2 linked regions of the Sus scrofa genome follow. The protein of the gene in region 1 interacts with the protein of each later gene in a pairwise test. Links are inferred from orthologs where the notes say so. Each region holds a gene or a part of one and is shown on either strand. Other genes may lie near its edges.

Region 1 (3,825 bases):
CATTACACTGTTTTGAATTCTCTTTGGTAGTCTAACCATCGGCTAACTTACTCTTTTGTATCCAGTTTTTACTTAACTAATCCTGGTCAGTTTATTAAGAAACAGTTCTTATGTGACCAAGGGAAGCCTGTTGGGGCTTAAAATCGACCATATACTGCTTAAATTTTTACTAAACAAGAAAAAGTTAATCATTACTGAGATATATAAGGCAGAGCCTAAATAGTCAAAATGTTTTTTGTCTATTCATTTCTAGAAATGAAATCAGTGGAACATGATAGTGACCAATTAAATGAACTTCAAAAACAAAAGAGTGAATTAATACAAGAATTATTTACTTTGCAGAGAAAGCTCGAAGGTATTACCTTTATGATTTAGTTTATTTTTCTGATAAATATAAATATGTACCGATTACAGGTTGTATTATTGTTTTAAAATGTATTAACCTATTGGAATATAGTACTGTTATTGATGTAAAAAAGGAATAGGTGAAACACTGAATTGATCAGAGTTAGGTCTGGTATTTTTTTTGTATTTGTTTTTTTTAATTTTTTTTTTATTTTTTTGTCTTTTTGTTGTTGTTGCTATTTCTTGGGCCGCTCCCGCGGCATATGGAGGTTCCCAGGCTAGGGGTTGAATCGGAGCTGTAGCCACCGGCCTACGCCAGAGCCACAGCAACGCGGGATCCGAGCCGCGTCTGCAACCTACACCACAGCTCACGGCAACGCCGGATCGTTAACCCACTGAGCAAGGGCAGGGACCGAACCTGCAACCTCATGGTTCCTAGTCGGATTCGTTAACCACTGCGCCACGACGGGAACTCCCTGGTATTTTTAATGTCACAGATTTTGTTAAGATCTTTTTTGTGCCTTTAATTGCTGTATTAAAGTAGAAAAATAGAAATCATTGTTACACTTATTTTACATGAAGCACCACAAATCAGAGTATTATTCTTATTATTGAATAAAGATAACCTTATGTTTAATTTTTCAAAGATTGTAGTAATTTTCTTAATTGTTTAGATTTTGAAGATAAAAAAAATGAAGCTGTTCGTACTACCAAAAATTTAGAAGCAGAAAAAATAAAAATCACTGAAAAACCTCAGAATGATGCTGAATGCTTAAGGTAAGAATGCTTAGCATCTTTTGGTTAAAAAAAATTCATAAATTTTCAAGTTGTCAAGTAGATTTCAGCATAAAGTTAAATCCAGAGTTTTTATTTAAGTTCCAGGTGAAGACATTAATTTCCTTCTATGTGTATTCTGAAACATGGTAATATACAAACACTTCACAGACTAGAAAGTGCTACACATAAATGCATCAGGTTGATAACACTGAAATCAATTTTATCTTTTCATATATCTCATGGACTCTTGAATTTTCTCACATCCTAAAAGATTAAGACAAAGCTTTGTTTCCAAAAGTCTCTTTCTGTTATTCCTAACTTTTGGGGTGGAATGATTGAAATTATTTTTTATCCTTTTAAATTTCAGGGGCAAAATCACAGTCTACTACTTTATTTGAAATCTGTCACTCTGGTTTTGTGCCTAAAGAATGAAAATGAATTTTCTGTATGAAATATTTAGATGCTTTTTTGTATTTGATAATGAATGAATGGCCAAGGTGTCAAATGATAGTCATATACAGAAGGAGAACCCCCTGTTTTTTGATTTCACAGTTATTTATCAATAATTCAGTGTTATATTTGCTAGCTTAATTTTAAAGAACTTTCTATAATTTCTAGGCTTAATGTAAGAAACAGAAACCTCATTACCAAATCCATGAAGAGGCAAATGAAGCTTCCTTTCAATAAATCATATAGGAAATATGTCCACTAGAGCTGAACAAATGCTTCATATTAGCAGTGTATTGCCTTAGGCCATAAATTTGTAGATTGTGAGAAAATATTTGCAATTTAATTTTATGTTAAGTTTTATAAGCATGAAATATCAATCTCTTGGGTGATAGGTTTGATGCAGAATGAGTTTCTATAATGACAATCTGCTCGTTGATTTTTTTAGACTTTTAGAAATGGTAATGCCCACTGGTATCATTTTAGTTAGTAGTGTAAGGGCTGCCAATATGAACTCCAGTTTTGTGGGCTTATCACTGAGGCATAAAAATTTGCCCTGGGTTAAAATTAAATACACAAAGTCTGTTAGAGAGAGCTTTTCCTTCACAGATGGTGACAGAGGAAATTTGTACAGGAAGAAACATCAATCTATACACCTAGTCCATTCTTTGCATTTAGCAGTTATTAAAGAAAATGCCAACATTTATCAATTCCCATTTTCAGTTCTTTAATATGTGTAGCTTAGTTTCCTTTCTGGTATGTTCATAAAAGTTATTTCACATGTGAAGAGCAGAGTCAAAGCACTAAGTGTAAAGACTTTAGAGAAGCGCGCCATTAGTCATATAATTAGTGCAATGACAAGGAGCTAATGATAGTGAGAAATGATACGACATTATTCAGCAGCATTAAAACCAAAACTTATCCCTAAACTCTGGAATAGAATAATCTTTTTCATCTGTGTGTTCAAATGTATACCTAATTCTAAATAATTGCCTTTTACTTAAATTTTCATAGTTAACTACTGTTGGTATAGATGCTACTTCTATAGCAGGGTTTCTTAAACTTGGCACTGTTGGGATTTTGGCCAGTTTATTCTTTATTGTGGGAGGGTTGTCCTAGGAGTGTAAGATGTGCATTCCTGGCCTCTACCCGCTAGATGCCAGTAGCATCACCCACGCCCAGCTGTGACAACCAAAAATGTCTCCAGACATTGCTGAATGTCCCCTGAGCAGATGTGGGTGCGCAAAATTGTCCCTAGTTCAGAACCAGTTTTATTTTATGGTTATTATAATTATACTTCTACTTTTATTAAACTTTAACCACTAAGAAAGCAATTATAAAAAGTTAATATTACTTCATCTCTGTGTGGTTCTTCCTGTGTCCTTGACTTTTTGCCATTTCTTGGGCCGCTTCCGCAGCATATGGAGGTTCCCAGGCTAGGGATCGAATCCGAGCTATAGCCACCGGCCTATGCCAGAGCCACAGCAATGCGGGATCTGAGCCGCGTCTGCGACCTACACCACAGCTCACAGCAAGGCCAGATCCTTAACCCATTGAGCAAGACCAGGGATCGAACCCACAACCTCGTGGTTCTTAGTCGGATTCGTTAACCACTGAGCCACAATGGGAATTCTGTGAAATTCTTTTATAATGATTATATTTTTTAAAGTTAATCTTCCATGTATAGGTTTTTTGTTGGACTCTATTTCGATGCCATCCATTAATGCCAAGAACCAGTTCTTTATGCTCACAGTGATTTAATGGTCTCTGCTTTAGGGAATCTTTCCCTGTTTATAAATTACAAGATGTTTGTTCATTTAAAAGATTCTATTGTGAAAATTGTGGGATCATTAATTAATGCATGTTAAAAGACCTAACTTATAAAATATTGCTATGATTAACACCTACGCCAGAGGTTGGGTTAATATCAAAGAAGGCTTTCTGAGGGTTGTAAAACTGACTGAGCTAGTTTTTTCACATATTCCAGGGAGGAAAGTAACAATAAACCTCAGGGTATCAAGAAGGGGTAAGCATAGAGGTTTAAGATTACAAACCCCTTTAAATCTCAGTCTGCTATTTACTGGTTAGGGACCTTGTCTATGCCTCATTCTCTACATCTATAAAATGAGGTTAATGATGGCACCTACCTCACAAGATTATAGTAAAAATTAAATGACTTAATATATATATATATAAAGCCCTTTTAATAGTCCTTGGTACACAGTAAAATCTTTATAATTGTTAGACATAATTTAA
Region 2 (3,825 bases), about 64 Mb from region 1:
CTTGTAATATACACTTTAGCTTATGGAAATAGTATGAAATAAAGAAAGTATTTTTGTAGTTGTGTCTATGCTGATGCTATAACTCATACCGAATTAATTTGTGTTTCCATTTTGTGTGTGTGTGTGTGTGTGTGTGTGTGTGTGTGTGTGTGTTGGCTTTATCATATTTTCTATCCAGGTTCTGTGAGAACAAACATGACAGTATTTTGAAAGGCTTTCATATCCCCAGAAGGAAGAAATGACAAAAAGGCAAGACATTGTAATGAATGTTTATGATCTTTTTTAGGAACATGACAGTCTCAAGCCCTCTGTCTCTGCTGAGTCTTGATGATTTATCTTGTTTCCTCAGATTCTGTGCCAGGCCACAAAGATGGGCAGAATGAAGTTGACAGTGCGCCTGAAGACCTCCAGTCTGTTGAGACTAGCAGGCTGCTCTACCACATCACGGATGGTGACAACCCACTGCTGTCACCGCGATGCGCCATCTTCAGCCAAAGCCAGAGATTCAATTTAGACCCTGAATCAGCCCCTTCTCCCCCCAGCACTCAGCAGTTTATGATGTAAGGAAACCTTGTTCTGTATTTATCTTTGTTTTGTGCCATTTTTCAAATACTACGTTTATAAGCCAGAGTGAAGGGTATATCCAAAATAGAGCAAATGTGCCTACCGAATGCACATGCAGCCCTGAACAATGAATGGAAAAAAAAAAGAAAAAAGAGTGTGTTTTCTAGTTGAGAATGCTGCTTCAAGCCTTTCTGTCTCAGGAGGAAATGGTCTCAAGATAACAGGCTCATGTATTTGAACATTTTTGGTGAAATGAGCAGAATCCTAGGAAAATGGATGTACATGCAACTATCAGGAATATCATTCTTGATGTGCTCACTAAGTAGTCTTAGTGACTACTCATTATTATTCTTGATGTGCTCATGTCTTTCCATGTCCAATGGTGGCCTTGATGGCTGGATCGTAGCAATGCTTGGAAGTTGTCTTGTCTCAGTTTCTTCTTAGATTCTAGAAAAGTGGTAGCTCTTATAGCTCCTACACACACACATATTGTGAAACTGTTTTCTTGTTTTTTAAGTTCCACAAGTAGTTCTTTCTTTTCTTTTCTTCACTTGTGGCAAGTAGAAGTTCCCAGGTCAGGGATCAAACCTGCAACACAGCAGCGACCCATGCCACAGCAGTGACAATGCTGGATCCTTAACCTGCTGCACTGCAAGGGAACTCCTTTTTAGAATTTTATTTATTTATTTATTTGACATGTAGTTTTGATGCATAGCTAAAATGAGTCTCCTTCAACTGGAAATATGTGCAAGGAATTTCTAGTTTCTCCTGAATACCTCCTGGTATTATTTGTGAATTTATGCAGTCCTGGGTCCATGGACTGTCTACTGATGGACCTGAGGGAGTGAGTGAGTTATAACTCCTGTAAAGTCTGTCCTCTGAGAAAGTGAACACATTTTTCTGGCAAGGGGGTCCATTCCTTTCAGCAGATTCACAAAGGCTCTGTTACAAGAAAAGTTAACTACTCATCTAAAACTTCCTTGAAAGTGTCTCCAAGCTTGAGGAAATGCATTTCCTAGGCTAATATTCTGACGTCTGTAGACTGAAAAGTCCCTGATAACATTTTCCTGTTCTCTGATCAGGAGCTTCCATTAATGAGTGGATGCTACTCATCAAATAGTGACCTGGCCTCTGGACCTCGCTGTTAATCCAGGAAGCTGGCTTTGTGGACCAGCAGCAGGGTTTACTGGAAGACCGTTTTTTTTGTTTGTTCTGTTTTTCATTTTTAAAAGTTTTATTGAAGGATAGTTGATTTATAAGATTGTAATCATTTCTGCTGTACAATCAAGTGATTCAGTCATACAGATACACAATTCCATTGTCTTTCAGATTCTTTTCCCACTTAGATGATCACAGAACTTTGGGTAGAGTTCTTTGTGCTATATAACAGCTCCTCAAGATCAACATTTTTGGTGATTCTTTCCCTCCCTATAATCATCACAGGCCCCGAAGTTCTTCACGGTGTGGCTGTGGTGAAGGCAAGGAACCACCGACCATTACTCAGCTCACCAAACATATCCAGAGCCTCAAGCGGAAAATTCGGAAATTTGAAGAAAAATTTGAACAAGAAAAGAAATACCGGGTAAGGACCCTGTGGTTTGAAATGAGTGGATTATGGCAGAGGTGTATGGGCTTTCTGTCCTTCCTTTTTGAGCACTTCTCTGTGCTAGGGGATGGCTAAGTTTCCATTGGCCAATGAAGGACCTATCATAACTTGAGTGTCCATCCTGAATCTGTCTTGTTCTCATGTGCTGTGAACTGATCTCTGCTAAGGTGCTTTCTAGTAACAAATTCTAACTCTTATTTCCAGGCTATGTGATTATTGATCCTTTCTTTCTTTCTTTCTTTCTTTTTTCTTCTCTGAGGAACCTATCACTAGTACTCCTAGGACTGAAATTTGGGAAGCTTTTGAATGAGCTCTTACTTTTTTTAACATTTGCATTTTGATAAGAGCCTATTAAGGACCCAAAAGGCAGAATCTCTTAATTGTGGAACAGAGCGAAGGAGAGAGAGTTTTCTTTGACAATAAAATACTTTTTGGTTGATTGATGAGGACATATCAAGGGATGTCTATTCACACCACTCATAAGAACAAACCCTGATCCACCCTTTCCAATCAGAGAAATACTGGGCTTCATGTTGGGGCTGTAGTGTTGCTTTTCTTTTCTTACATAAGAGACAATAGAGTCAGAGGCAAGTGTACTGATGGCAAATGCTAGTTTTATTGATTTTATTTAATGGTGACCATGGCATAGAGAAAAATTATATCCATGTAGAATTGCACAAAGATATTGGCTCTTTGGCAGAGGGCCCAGAACAGTTTGTTATGAGAATAAAAGAACAGGGAATAATGTCTCATAGATCTTGAAATAATTAAAGGCTCACTAAGCACTTGGTGCAGAGGCAATCTGCAGGTCCCTGTAGTGTGAATAGGTTCTAGGGAGGGAGGAGAGAGTGGGTAACATTCCACTCTCCTGTTCTTCCTGTTCTGTTTTTCCCACAGTGGCTTCAATTTCACTAAAAGAGGAATTTCAAGGAGTGGTTTTTCAGCTTTGCAAAAATGTAAAAAAAAATTAGATTGGCTTCCCAGACAACCTTAGGGCATTGAAGATCCTTCTCTTCCTTGAGGTCAATCACAGCTCCTTTCTGTCTTTAAAAGCAAGAGGGCATTCCGCATATTATGAGGATCGGCCTTTATAGTACAGATGAAGAAACAGAGGTCCACCAAAGATGTATAACTTTCTTAAGGTAGTTGTGTTGTGTCAGCTAAGGCTATGGGTTCATGTTAAAGATGGGTAGGTTTTGTGGATTTCCTTTTGTGGCTCAGCAGGTTAAGAACCCTACATAGTATTCTTGAGGATGCAGGTTCAATCCCTGGCCTTGATCAGTAGGTTAAGGATCCTGTGTTCCTGTGGCTGTGGCATAGACTGAAACTGCAGTTCTGATTTGACCCCTAGCCTGGGAACCTCCATATGATGCAGGTGCAGCCCTAAAAAGACAAAAAAAAAGTAGGTTCTGCAGTGGAGAAATAGAGGTAAAATTAATTAAGTGCCCACATTTTGAAAGCTGCAAATATCCTGAGGGAGGCTGATTTTCTTTGTTTGCTGCTGGAGTGTTACTGGATCAGGGATGCCCTCCTATTGGAAGCTACAGAGTAATAGTTAGGGGCTTCCTCCCCAGGGCCTGTTAATATGTCTTACCTGACAGCTCTTGAATCAGGCTTATCTAGGTTTGAATCTAGCACAGCCACTTAGGAACTCT

Evidence for each region.
Region 2: the proteins of CCDC172 (region 1) and FAM13C interact in binary tests that used the Homo sapiens proteins (3 or more experiments, as listed by UniProt). The two-hybrid records come from large-scale screens. The link is inferred for Sus scrofa from reciprocal best matches to the Homo sapiens genes CCDC172 and FAM13C.

The regions. Positions count from the first base shown.
Region 1 is NC_010456.5:126,597,362-126,601,186, forward strand, and holds part of CCDC172 (coiled-coil domain-containing protein 172), read left to right. Parts: intron 1-253; coding exon 254-355; intron 356-1,019; coding exon 1,020-1,122; intron 1,123-3,825.
Region 2 is NC_010456.5:62,642,516-62,646,340, reverse strand, and holds part of FAM13C (protein FAM13C), read left to right. Parts: intron 1-349; coding exon 350-560; intron 561-2,007; coding exon 2,008-2,146; intron 2,147-3,825.